Linked DNA regions of Coturnix japonica. The protein of the gene in region 1 purifies or fractionates together with the protein of each later gene. This does not show direct contact. Links are inferred from orthologs where the notes say so. Each region holds a gene or a part of one and is shown in the gene's direction. Other genes may lie near its edges. The genes, in order: KIFAP3, KIF3B and KIF3C.

Evidence for each region.
Region 2: the proteins of KIFAP3 (region 1) and KIF3B purify together in Homo sapiens (co-immunoprecipitation; 7 studies listed by BioGRID and IntAct, counting the BioPlex papers as one, with this or other methods). This does not show direct contact. The link is inferred for Coturnix japonica from reciprocal best matches to the Homo sapiens genes KIFAP3 and KIF3B.
Region 3: the proteins of KIFAP3 (region 1) and KIF3C purify together in Homo sapiens (co-immunoprecipitation; 3 studies listed by BioGRID and IntAct, counting the BioPlex papers as one, with this or other methods). This does not show direct contact. The link is inferred for Coturnix japonica from reciprocal best matches to the Homo sapiens genes KIFAP3 and KIF3C.

What each region holds. Positions count from the first base shown.
Region 1 is NC_029523.1:6,583,774-6,587,422, reverse strand, and holds part of KIFAP3 (kinesin-associated protein 3), read left to right. Parts: intron 1-2,974; coding exon 2,975-3,164; intron 3,165-3,649. UniProt on the Homo sapiens protein: Involved in tethering the chromosomes to the spindle pole and in chromosome movement. Binds to the tail domain of the KIF3A/KIF3B heterodimer to form a heterotrimeric KIF3 complex and may regulate the membrane binding of this complex.
Region 2 is NC_029535.1:8,902,650-8,906,398, reverse strand, and holds the start of KIF3B (kinesin-like protein KIF3B), read left to right. Parts: upstream 1-1,536; 5' UTR 1,537-1,624; intron 1,625-2,305; exon of another isoform or gene 2,306-2,739; intron 2,740-2,797; exon of another isoform or gene 2,798-2,899; intron 2,900-3,329; 5' UTR 3,330-3,385; coding exon 3,386-3,749. Other genes in the region: POFUT1 (GDP-fucose protein O-fucosyltransferase 1), read left to right, coding at 77-265. UniProt on the Homo sapiens protein: Microtubule-based molecular motor that transport intracellular cargos, such as vesicles, organelles and protein complexes. Uses ATP hydrolysis to generate force to bind and move along the microtubule. Plays a role in cilia formation.
Region 3 is NC_029518.1:95,738,148-95,741,796, reverse strand, and holds part of KIF3C (kinesin-like protein KIF3C), read left to right. Parts: intron 1-135; coding exon 136-254; intron 255-1,372; coding exon 1,373-1,489; intron 1,490-1,679; coding exon 1,680-1,788; intron 1,789-2,809; coding exon 2,810-2,985; intron 2,986-3,555; coding exon 3,556-3,649.

The sequences.
Region 1 (3,649 bases):
CTTTATGAATGATTGAGGGGAAATACCAGCAGGTTTGAAGCCTCCTAGTGTAAGGAGAGGAATGTAGAACGCATAGGAGTGTTCAGTCTTGTTGCTTTCTAAAAAAAAAGTGGTGTTAACTGTTTTGTTTCCAGAAGGATACGAAGTTAATGTCTATTTGTGGGGGAACGTCCAACCAGTTTGAACGGTAGCATGGAATGGGGCAGTGGGGTTGGCTAAATGGGATTCCTTTGTGTTGTAATTTCTGGGAGGTTAACCCGTTTTCAAAGCTCTGTGATGGTAAATGTGAAGTAGAGATGCAGCTACTGCCCTTTCTGCTTTCGGGAACTTTTAGAAGTAAACAAGGTAATGTGAAAGGAATTCAGCTTTCCCGTGGATTAATCTAATTTACTGTTTGTTTGGTTTCTTTCTTTCTTCCACCCCTTTGCAATTGTGATTTCTGAGAATAGTTTTGCTAAGACTACAGTGTGATCTCTGGCAGTTACAAGGTGTTTCTCTAAAGCTTGTAAGTAATTCACAACTGCTGGGAGCTGATATAATAGTCCACGTTTTAGCTCTGGCAGATGCAGCAAAGTAGATGTTCCCAAGATGGCTTGTCAGGTGGCACTGAAAGTCCTGCTTTCATTCTTTCTTTCCCTGGATCATTTTATAGGCATTGATGCTGAGCCTTCCTTTCCCAGGGATTGCTCTGGGATTTCCATTTAATTGAGAGCTGAAGTGTGTGTGGGGAAATATCAAGAAGCAGAAACAGCATGAGGTGTTCTTTTTCCACACGGTGTGAGGTGTGAGGTTGGTTGCTTTGTTTTCCTCCCTAAGGACACCGCATTACTGTACGGTTGACAGGAGCTTGGAATTTTGCTGCAGGCTAACAGGGACTGGGAGCCTCCATTGATCCCACAGGTGATGCTTGTTCTGTGCGTGGGCGCTGTGCATGAGAGCAGGTGTTGAACAGAACTGCCTGAGTGCCTGGATGGTGCAGAAGGGAACTACTAAGATCACATAACCGCTGCTGATCAGACACGGATTCTAAGAAATAGGGAATGATACCACAGACTGATCATGGCCCCAGATTTGCAGCGTGCATGGATGTCCCATCAAAAAGGAATTCACCTCCTGCTCTAAGCCAGGAGAAACAAACTTCTTGTTCCTCCAAGTAAAACGGTTTTAAGACCCACTGCCATAGCATAATGGTTTGTGGTTGTACAATGCAACGTGATTCCTTGTGGAATCTTGGAGGCTTGAGATAGGCTGGTTAGCAGAGTTGGGGTATCCTCTGCCAGAAGGACTGAACCAGCTTGGTTTTTTTTTGTGTGTGTGTTATCAGCAGTCAGAAGGGTGGAAAAGGCAAAGGCTAGATAGACAGTGTGGTACCCACGTCAGGTTAACAGCAGTGAAGACAAGGTATCCTGACAAGTAAGTTTAAAAGCTCAAATTCAGTCCATAGGGCTTTTAGAAGTTTAACCCCCAAGCTACTAAACCAACTTATTCTGTCTTCACTGCTATTTTTTGACCTCGGGTTGTAGACAGATCTGCTTTTGCATGTCTAGCTGGAGCAGTTTAAGAAGTTACTACTTCTGCAGCCAAGATGTTGTTAATTGTATGAACAATCTTCCCTTCTGGGCTAAGTAAAATGGATTTTAAAAACCTTAAAGTGCTCCAGGTAGATCTCAGAGGGCAGCCTGTCTAGAGCATATGTTAACTATCTTGAGGTAAGAAATGGTTTTCAATTTCTGCCTGTTTTGGAGTTCAGTTAGAAGACAGTGAGGTGGAAGTGCTGAGACCTGCCTTACAGGGTGTTTCTTCCCACAAATAGAAATGCTTTGTTGGTTATGAATGTTGTTCTCGGTCACAATTCTTTGATTAAAAGAAGGTAATAGCCACTGTGCATTATTTGTGCATCTTCTTAAACTGATAATACCTGCAACTTTAATATGTTCACATGTGTCTATAGGTAAACAACAGCCCAGGCAGTCTGTTTTGCTTAGAGGAGCCTTCTAAACAGCTGATTGCACTGACTGCTGTGACTTTTCCTTCTGATATTCCTTTACACTGAATATCACATCATCAGAGAGTGCAGTTATTCCAGCCCAAAATTTCGTGACTACCTTTTGTTTCCATAGTAGTCTATACCTATATCCTGCTTCCCTCAGCATTCTGGAGAAGTTCTTCTCTGACTTTGTCTTTGCTTCCTGTATTCATGAATGTTGTGTGCCAATTTTGTGGGTGTTCAATATTAAAAGTAGCAATTTGTTTTGAAGTTTGTCAGGAAGCTGAGAACTAAATCCTGTTTTTCAGGTGCTCATGAAACAAAGGCTTAACTGGTTTTATCACTACCCTTTTTGTTCTTTTTGAGTAATTAGAACAGGTTGCTCAGAGGGGTTGTGGATGCCCCCTCCCTGGCAGCATTCAAGGTGAGGCTCAATGGATGGGGCTGTGAGCAGCGTGGGCTGGTGGGAAGCGTCCCTGCCTAGCAGGAGGGTTGGAACTACATGATCATAAAGGTCTCCCTTCCAACCCAAAGCATTCTATGATTCTGTAATGAATGCTTGTCTAATGAGATCAAACAGTATTTGGCCAGTGTTAGTGTTTTATTCCTGCAGACCCTCTGAAAATTGGCTGTAATAGGCTCTTCCTGATGGTCCAGGTGGGGAGACCATGATGATTGAACTCCCTTGCTCAAAGCAGGAGAGTTTTCTGGGCAGTGCAGAGTTACAGACCGTGAAGGGAAGATTGTACTGCTGCTGCACGTACAAAACCAGAGCGAGGCCTGGTGTTTGGAAAATATTGCCTTTATTGCTCAAAGCGTTCTACACACTTAAAAGATTTAAGTCAGTGAGTGCTGAAACTTGAATCTTTTGCTGATGTTAAATTCCTCTGCTATTTCCTGTTAAACCAAACAGGTCTTTGTCTATTCTTCATCGCAGCCTCTTGTGTGGTCATTTTTGGTTTGGTTTTTTTTTTTTTTTACTAACAGGAATATGATGAGGAATGGGCGAAAAAAATCCAGAGTGAGAAATTTCGATGGCACAACTCTCAGTGGCTGGAGATGGTGGAGAGTCGGCAGATGGATGACAGTGAGCAGTATCTGTATGGGGACGATCCTATTGAGCCCTACATCCATGAAGGAGATATTCTGGAAAGACCTGATCTCTACTACAACGCAGGTAAGAGCACACGTTGGTATTCAGCGCAGGGATAGCTGCCTCTCTTTGTATTTGAAACCAGGATCTGGCCTGTTGCTGTAGGAAGAATGCTCAGAGCAGTGGTAAAACTGTCTCTGTGTGTCAGTGGGAGCAGTGCTGATGCATATTTGCTGGGGATTTGTGTCCTCCCTCCAGGGGTTGCTTTTGCCAACCCTTTCAGGTACAGTATCAGCCTGCAGGGAGATCTCATGAAATAAGTTACCCACTGGATTAATGTCTTCATAGCCTTCAACAACTAGGGGTTGGCTTACGCATTCAAGCTTGTGGTTTTATTTCCTTTTCAAACTCCTGCATAGCTGTGTATGTGCGTGTGGCTTTTGAATTTTCCATACAAGTGTCCAGTCCTTTGCTATGAAGCATGAGTCACAAAACTCTGACTCTGGATGGATTTGCAGGAGTATTAATAAGACAAACAAAACCACTGAAATCAGTCAGCTTTATTTGCA
Region 2 (3,749 bases), on another chromosome or scaffold:
CTACTATAATGCTAAGACAGTTGGGTGGTAATAATAGTTGTCTAGATTCATTTACTTTCCTTCTTTTTCTCCACAGATCAAAGTTGTCAGCTTGCAGCCAGAGGTGGCTCAGATCGATTTATATATTCTTGGCCAATCTGATCACTTCATTGGGAACTGTGTCTCTTCATTTACCGCGTTTGTAAAAAGAGAGCGTGATGTACATGGAAAACCCTCTTCATTTTTTGGCATGGATCACCCACCAAGGTTACGGGATGAATTCTGACCAAAAGAGAAACAGGCTCGATGGTTCTCAGGGCTCTGAGCCTGGTGAGGGACCCTGCTGGTGTTGACTGCTCTGTATGCAAGGCGTGTTTCCAGCCCTTGGATACTCTGTACCATCACTCTTCTGTCTGCCTTCACTCCTGTGATACCAGACAGAAAAGAAATTTGAAGCCAAGTAGTTTATGGGAAACTGTAAACTATGTAGTTTTTAAGATATAGTTTATATAGCTCTCCATCCTCTTTTTGGGGGAGGTTTGCCAACGATTATGAAGAAGCTGCTCATTTTTATTATTTTTTTTTCTCCCATTATTAATTTTATCTGGAAATGTCATTAAGCTTCTTATTGTCCACAACTGACCATAAGTTTCTTTTAAAGTGCAAGGTATATTCAGGAATATCATGATCCCTGTATAGGAGTGCAGGATGAAGCTTAAAACTGGAAATTATAAGGTCTGGGTTTTATTGAGTGCCACTAACTGGACCCACATCACCTCAGTACCTCCTTTTCCATTCCCTGTTAAGAGATGCAATACCCACCTACAGCAGTGCGGTGAGGAGCCTTTGTGGGGCGCAGTGATCTCAGTGGTGCTGTGTTTACATGTGGCCGTTGTCCTTTCACTGGACGCAGATGGGAAATCTCTCCCAGCCAGGCAGAGGTTGGAGATGTAGGACTTTGTAGCTGTTGGTAAAAGGTGGAGGTATGTGATAGAAGCAAAAGTTTTTAGGTCAGAAGCTCCGAAGTAGCTGCCCTGTGGGTCGGTGTAAATCTTCCCTGAGTCTTTATTAATGGATTTTTATACTTTGTGAAGATAGTCCCTCTGACAGCACAATTCCTGGCTGTAGGGCTCATTCCCAGCACGGCAAACTGGGAACAAACAGCAACAAGAAAACATGTGGGTGTACAAGGAAATCCATTCGGCACGGTGAAGTTCAGTGCTGGTCACCTGTGGTAACCCCAATTTGGCCAGTGTGTTTCCTTAGCACCAGCCAAAGGATGGGATTCCCAGGGCTCGGCTTCACATGAGAGCCTGGTGTGAGAGGAAGATAAGAGAAGAGATAAGCCCAAAGTGCTGCAGGGACACTGAGGTGCTCATTCCCAACCTCTGGGCCACGGGGCTGTTTTATAACAAACGTGTTATTTTTGTAATGATAATAAAATCTCGGTTTTGTACTCAGTTGAATGGCACTCACCTTCTTTTCTCCGGGTTTATCCGCTGCTCGGAGCTGTGGTACCGGGCCTTGTGTGGAGGGGCGGGAGCGTGTTGCTAAGGAAGTGAGCGGGGAGCGGCGGCCATTCCTACCGCTCCTCTTCCGGTGCCGCGGGAGGAGGCGGCCGCGGGGCTCCATGGTGACGGCGCAGGTGAGTGCGGCCCGGCCCGGTGGGCCCAGGTGTCCCCTTAGGGCCGGGATTGAGCTCGGGCCGAGCGGGCTGGAGGTGATAGAGGGAGCGAAGCGGGCTGGGCTGGGCCCCCCGTGCTTAGAATAGAGCAGGGAAGAACCGAAGGACAAAAGCGGCCCGAACGGGATGTGTCAGCACCGAGATCGGGGAGACTCGAGCCGTGAGGAGGCGGTTGGTGGGTTTGGGGGGTGTCTGTAGTGAGGTGAGAACTGATGGGACACGGGGCTGCGGGCCGGGATGGGCGCCGTGTGTTGGGCCCGGTACCGAGCGCTGCTGATGGCCGGGGTGATGCTCCCATCACATACAGCACTCCCTTATGGGAAGCTGCACGGAGTCACAGTGCTTGTAAGGGACCTCTGGAGATCGGCTGGGCCAACCCTGAAGGCTGGGTGCTTCTTAGGTGCAGCTTCTGTGATAGAGCAGTGATGTGTTGGCATTGCTGCACAGGGGGTTCTGGGGTCACTGTCCTTGGAGGCGTTCTGGAGCCATGGGGATGTGGAGATGTGGCATTCTGGAGCCATGGGGATGTGGCTCTGAGGGACGTGGTCAGTTGGCTCTGTGTCTTAAAGGTCTTCCTTAATGATTGGGGGTCTTAAAGGGGGTCTTAAAGGTCTTCCTTAATGATTTGCTATGCTCGGTTTGCTGCTTGTTGTGGTCATTTGGAGTCCACCTCCAAATGTGTTTGTTACACCCTGAGCTGTATCTGGGTTCTCAGAAAGTAGATGAGCTGTGCGTTCTTCTAAGTGACCTCTTCATTGTTGGTCGGTGTTGGAGTGCAGCTCACTGCAATGATGTACTCACCCAACTGGTTTGCTTGACCATATTTACAGACACAACAACTGTGCTACGTCTGGCTGCCTTAACAACTTGCTTTGTAGCCAGTTTGATTGCATGGCTGTGTGAAAACTCTGGTGTAAAAATCATTGTCTCTTGATTCTTGACAGAGCAGGAAAATAACAGCAGATTTCCCTGGTGTGGAAATACAACATTCAGGGGATGGGAAATGGGCAAACTATTTAGTGGTGTTATTTTGAATCCTCACAGCTGCTGTTGCCCATTGGAACATCCATTGTGCTGTAAGTAGGCTTCTAGAAAGCAACGTCACAAGTTTTAAGTCATGAAAGAGCTTTTGGGTGGCATTCCAATGCACTTCTGTTGCTTCAGGAAAATAATGGGTGTAGGTTGTAAGCCTGTAGTAGCAGGATGGTCCTGATGATGCACCACGTCACTTCATGTGTGAGTTAATAAAGGTCTCCTAAAAATGAGAGGTTTTCTCCAATACACTGGAGATGTAAAAAGGTCACTCAGAAAATACCACGTTGATATTTTGGTGGGTGGGTGAAACACTTCATCGCAGCACCTGATTGATTCCCTTTCAGTCTGTATTCCAGGCATTATGGAGGCAGCAACTCTGTACTGGATTTTCAAAGGAGGAGATTTACATCAAAAACTTACATGATACCAATTGGCAGACAGGCTTTGCCAATACTACTCTCTTAGCTCAGGCCTTTTTAAGGTTTTTATGTTGTACATAATTCTTCAAAATCCCCCAGAACATAAACAGGCAAAATTCTGCTTGAATAGATGAGCTGAATCTTTGACTATTGGCAAAATTGTCATCTGTAGAAAACTGCCATTGTTTATTCCTCCTTTGTTCTTGTTTTAGGCTTCTAGCACTGGATCATCTGTCGATCAGATCACGTCAGCCACAGACGTGCTGTCATGTCTAAGTTAAAGAGCTCTGAGTCTGTTCGGGTGGTGGTACGATGCCGGCCGATGAACAGCAAAGAGAAGACAGCTTCGTATGAGAAGGTTGTTAATGTGGATGTCAAATTAGGGCAGGTGTCGGTGAAGAATCCACGGGGAACATCTCATGAACTGCCTAAAACTTTCACTTTTGATGCTGTGTATGACTGGAATTCCAAACAGGTTGAACTCTATGATGAGACCTTCAGACCTCTTGTGGACTCTGTTCTGCAAGGTTTCAACGGGACAATCTTTGCTTATGGGCAGACTGGAACAGGGAAAACTTACACGATGGAGGGGGTGCGTGGTGATCCTGAAAAAAGAGGGGTCATCCCCAATT
Region 3 (3,649 bases), on another chromosome or scaffold:
TATTTTGGGGACATCTGTGCCATAAGGTCATGCCACCATGTCCTGGCGGCTCCAGTGCCACTGGGGTCACCCATTACACCACTCCCTGGGGACACCCATGCCACCAGGGCTGATGCCATCTCTCTCTGGGTACAGCTTTACGCCAAGCTGCAGGCTGTGAAGGCAGAGATCCAGGACCAGCACGACGAGTACATCCGTGTGCGGCAGGACCTGGAGGAGGCACAGAACGAGCAGACACGGGAGCTCAAGCTCAAGTAGGTGCCATTGGTGTCCCATCAGGTGGGCAGTGAGGCTGAGGTCCCCCTGCCCCGCACCCCAGCCCCAGCAGTGCCACTCACAGCATCCAGCCTCTCACCTGGGGCCTGCAGGAGATCCCTATGGAGGAGGCAGTCATTCTCTTCACTATCTTACCACAACCAACCCAGACATGTATAAATATTTTAACGTTTTCATGATAAAATATTTAAAATTCTGCTCGGAGCACAATTTTGTGTCCAGTTTTGCTCCACACCCTTTGGAACGTAATTAAAATGCTTTAAGAGCGTGCAAAACCTCAGTCAGCAACTCATCCATTCCAAACCATTTTCTGCAGCTTCTTTATTTGCCCCAAAGCAACGTGGCAAAAAGAGGGGGGGAAAAAAATCCCTTCAGGGTCAGTTTTAAGGTGTTTCCTCTCATTTTCTCATCCGGCAGCTCTGCTGTGGGCTGAGATCATGCAGACCTTTCTGTGTTGTGCTGCTGCAACAGTGGGGCCAGTTTGGATTTCCATTCCACTGAGCAAAGGGGTTGGGTTTGGGGTGCTCCCGAGGGGTCCTGTGTGAATCGGTGCAAAATGCATTGCAAACTGCATTGCAAGCAAGGTTGCGAACAGTGCAAGCTGCACTACGAGTTGTGTCTTGCAGTCTGTGTTTCAAAACTCATTGTAAATTGTGCCTTGCAGATTGTAGGCCATACATCACAGAATGTATTTTAGTTTCATTTCAGACTGTGTATTTCAAACAGCTGCAGGTTGCATTGCAGACCATGCATTGCAGACACTGCCTGGGGGTTGCTAAGGACAGGACCGTGGGGTTACACCCTGAAGGCAGCATGCAGAGCTGATGATGTTTCTTCTGCTCCTCTCTGAATGACAGTCTTCCTCTGCCCTTTCTCTCCTGCCTCTGCTGGATCCATGGCCCCTACCCGCCCGCTCTGTCTTCCTCTCCTCCCCATTCATGTTTTCACCCCCCATCTGCTCTCTGTGTCCTGGCTCCTCTCCTGACCTCTCCTCTCCACTCCCTTTGCTCCACTCGCTGTGCCCTGTCCTGTTACCTCCCTCCTTTCCACTCTGTCCCACCTGCCACTCCTCTCTCCTGGCCTGTCCCTCACTCAGGTACCTGATCATCGAGAACTTCATCCCACCAGAGGAGAAGAACAAGATCATGAACCGCCTCTACTTTGACTGCGAGGAGGACCAGTGGAAGTTCCAACCGTTGGTGCCGGCCGGCGGGTGCGTGTGGGCATGGGCAAGGGCTGGGGACATCACTGGGTTGGGCAGTGCAGTGTCACCACCCATGGGACATGGGGAAATGATGGAGGTGCCCACGGGTGGCACCAGGGTGTTCTATTGGGTCCCATCCTGTGCTCGGGGAGCTCAGTGCTGTCATTCATGTTGCCTAATGGGTGTTCCTCTCTTTCAGGAACAGTAACCAAATGAAGAAGAGGCCAACATCTGCAGTGGGGTATAAGAGACCCATCAGCCAGTATGCCCGTGTGGCCATGGCCATGGGATCACATCCACGGTATCGGGTAAGGGAGGGGACGCTGCTGGTATGTGCTGGGGGACAAGGTGGTGGTGGGTCAGCGGGGAGGATGGATGAGATGAATGAGTGGGTTGGGTGGATGGATGGATGGATGGATGGATGGATGGATGGATGGAGTGCATGGGATGGATGGAGTGGATGGATGGTGGATGGATGGATGGATGGATGGATGGATGGATGGTATGGACAGGTGGGTGGATGGATGGATGGATGGATGGATGGATGGATTGGATGGATGGATGGATACGGACATGATGGATGGATGGATGGATGGATGGGTGGATGGGTAGATGGTGGTTGGGATGCATGGAAGGATAGGGTTCATGGGATAATGGGGTGGACAGGATGGGTGGATGGATGGGTAGTTGAGATGTATGGAATGATGGGGTTCAAGGGGAAATGAAAAAAAAATTTGGGGTGGACAGGATGGGTGGATGGGACAGATGGATGGGATAGGTGGATGTGTGGATGGATGGATGGATGGATGGATGGATGGATGGATGGATGTGTGGGTAGGGTAGATGGATAGCTGGCATATGAGATGATCTTAAAGGTCCCTTCCAACCCAAACCATTGTATGGTTCTGTATATGAATGACTGGGGTGGGTAGATGGGGTGACTGGATGAATGGGACAGGTAGGCAGATGAGTGGATGGCTGGATGGATGAATAATATGGGATGGATGGGTGGAATGGTTGGATGTCTGGAGTGGATAGATGAATAGATAAGGCAGATGGATGGACAGTGTGTACGGATGGATGGAGTGAGTGGATGAATGAGGTTAATGGCTGGGTAGATGGGTGACAGCTCCAGGCAGCTGTAGAGAATGTGGGGTAAATAAGCTCATGAAGACTGGAGATAATTTAGGTAAACCAGCTGCAGCCAGAAGATCTCTGTCCCTCAGTGTATTCAGCCTCTCAGCCATGTGGACCTACATGAGATGGTGCCATGCTTTACTGTGCCGTAACTCCGTGTGTTAACTTTCCCTTTGCCCCATCATGCTGCAGGCTGAGAACATCATGTTCCTGGAGCTGGACGTCTCCCCTCCAGCAGTGTTTGAGTTTGAGCGGAGCCGGGACCCAGCCGAGCAGGACCCACGGGCTCTGCACCTGGAGAGGCTGATGCACCTGGACAGCATCCTGGAGAGACCAGCAGCCTCCCGGGTGAGGAAGTCCCGCTCCTGGTGAGTGAACATGTGGATATTTGGGCGCTGGGGCTGAGACACTGGATATGGGACAGTGCTGGGTTGAAGACACTGCAGCCGAGGGGAAGCTGCAAGAGTGCAGGGCAGCCTGGAAGTGTTCCCTGTCTTTAGTTGGAGACAGGTTTGGGGTTCAAGGTAGGGGTTCAGGCTGGGTGGGCCTTCAGGTTCCTTCCAAGGATGGGCCTTCAGGTCCCTTCCAACTCAAAGCACTCAGGGATTCTGGGATTCTGTTCTACTGGCACAGGCTGCCATCCCTGGAGGTGTTCCAGGACCATGGAGATGTGGCACTAAGAGGGCAGTGGCACGGTGGGATGGGTTGGGGTTGGACTTGTTCTCTGGCTCTCTGAAAAACAGGTTGATGATACGGTATATCACCATGTACATATGCCCAGGATGGTTATATACAACATCCAGTGCTGCTCAGCACTGGATTTCCATCAGTGCTGCCTACATAGCAAGTCACTGAGAAAACAGCAGGATTCGGGGGCGGAGATCAGGAAAGAGGAAGCAGAAGGAAAGCATTTCTTTTTCTTCTTGTGCCACCCCCAGGTGCCAGACACCACGGTCGCTGCCATCCTCCACTACACACGTGTCCCTCGCTGCTGGCTCCCCACGCACCTCTGTGACACCGGCACAGGAGTGA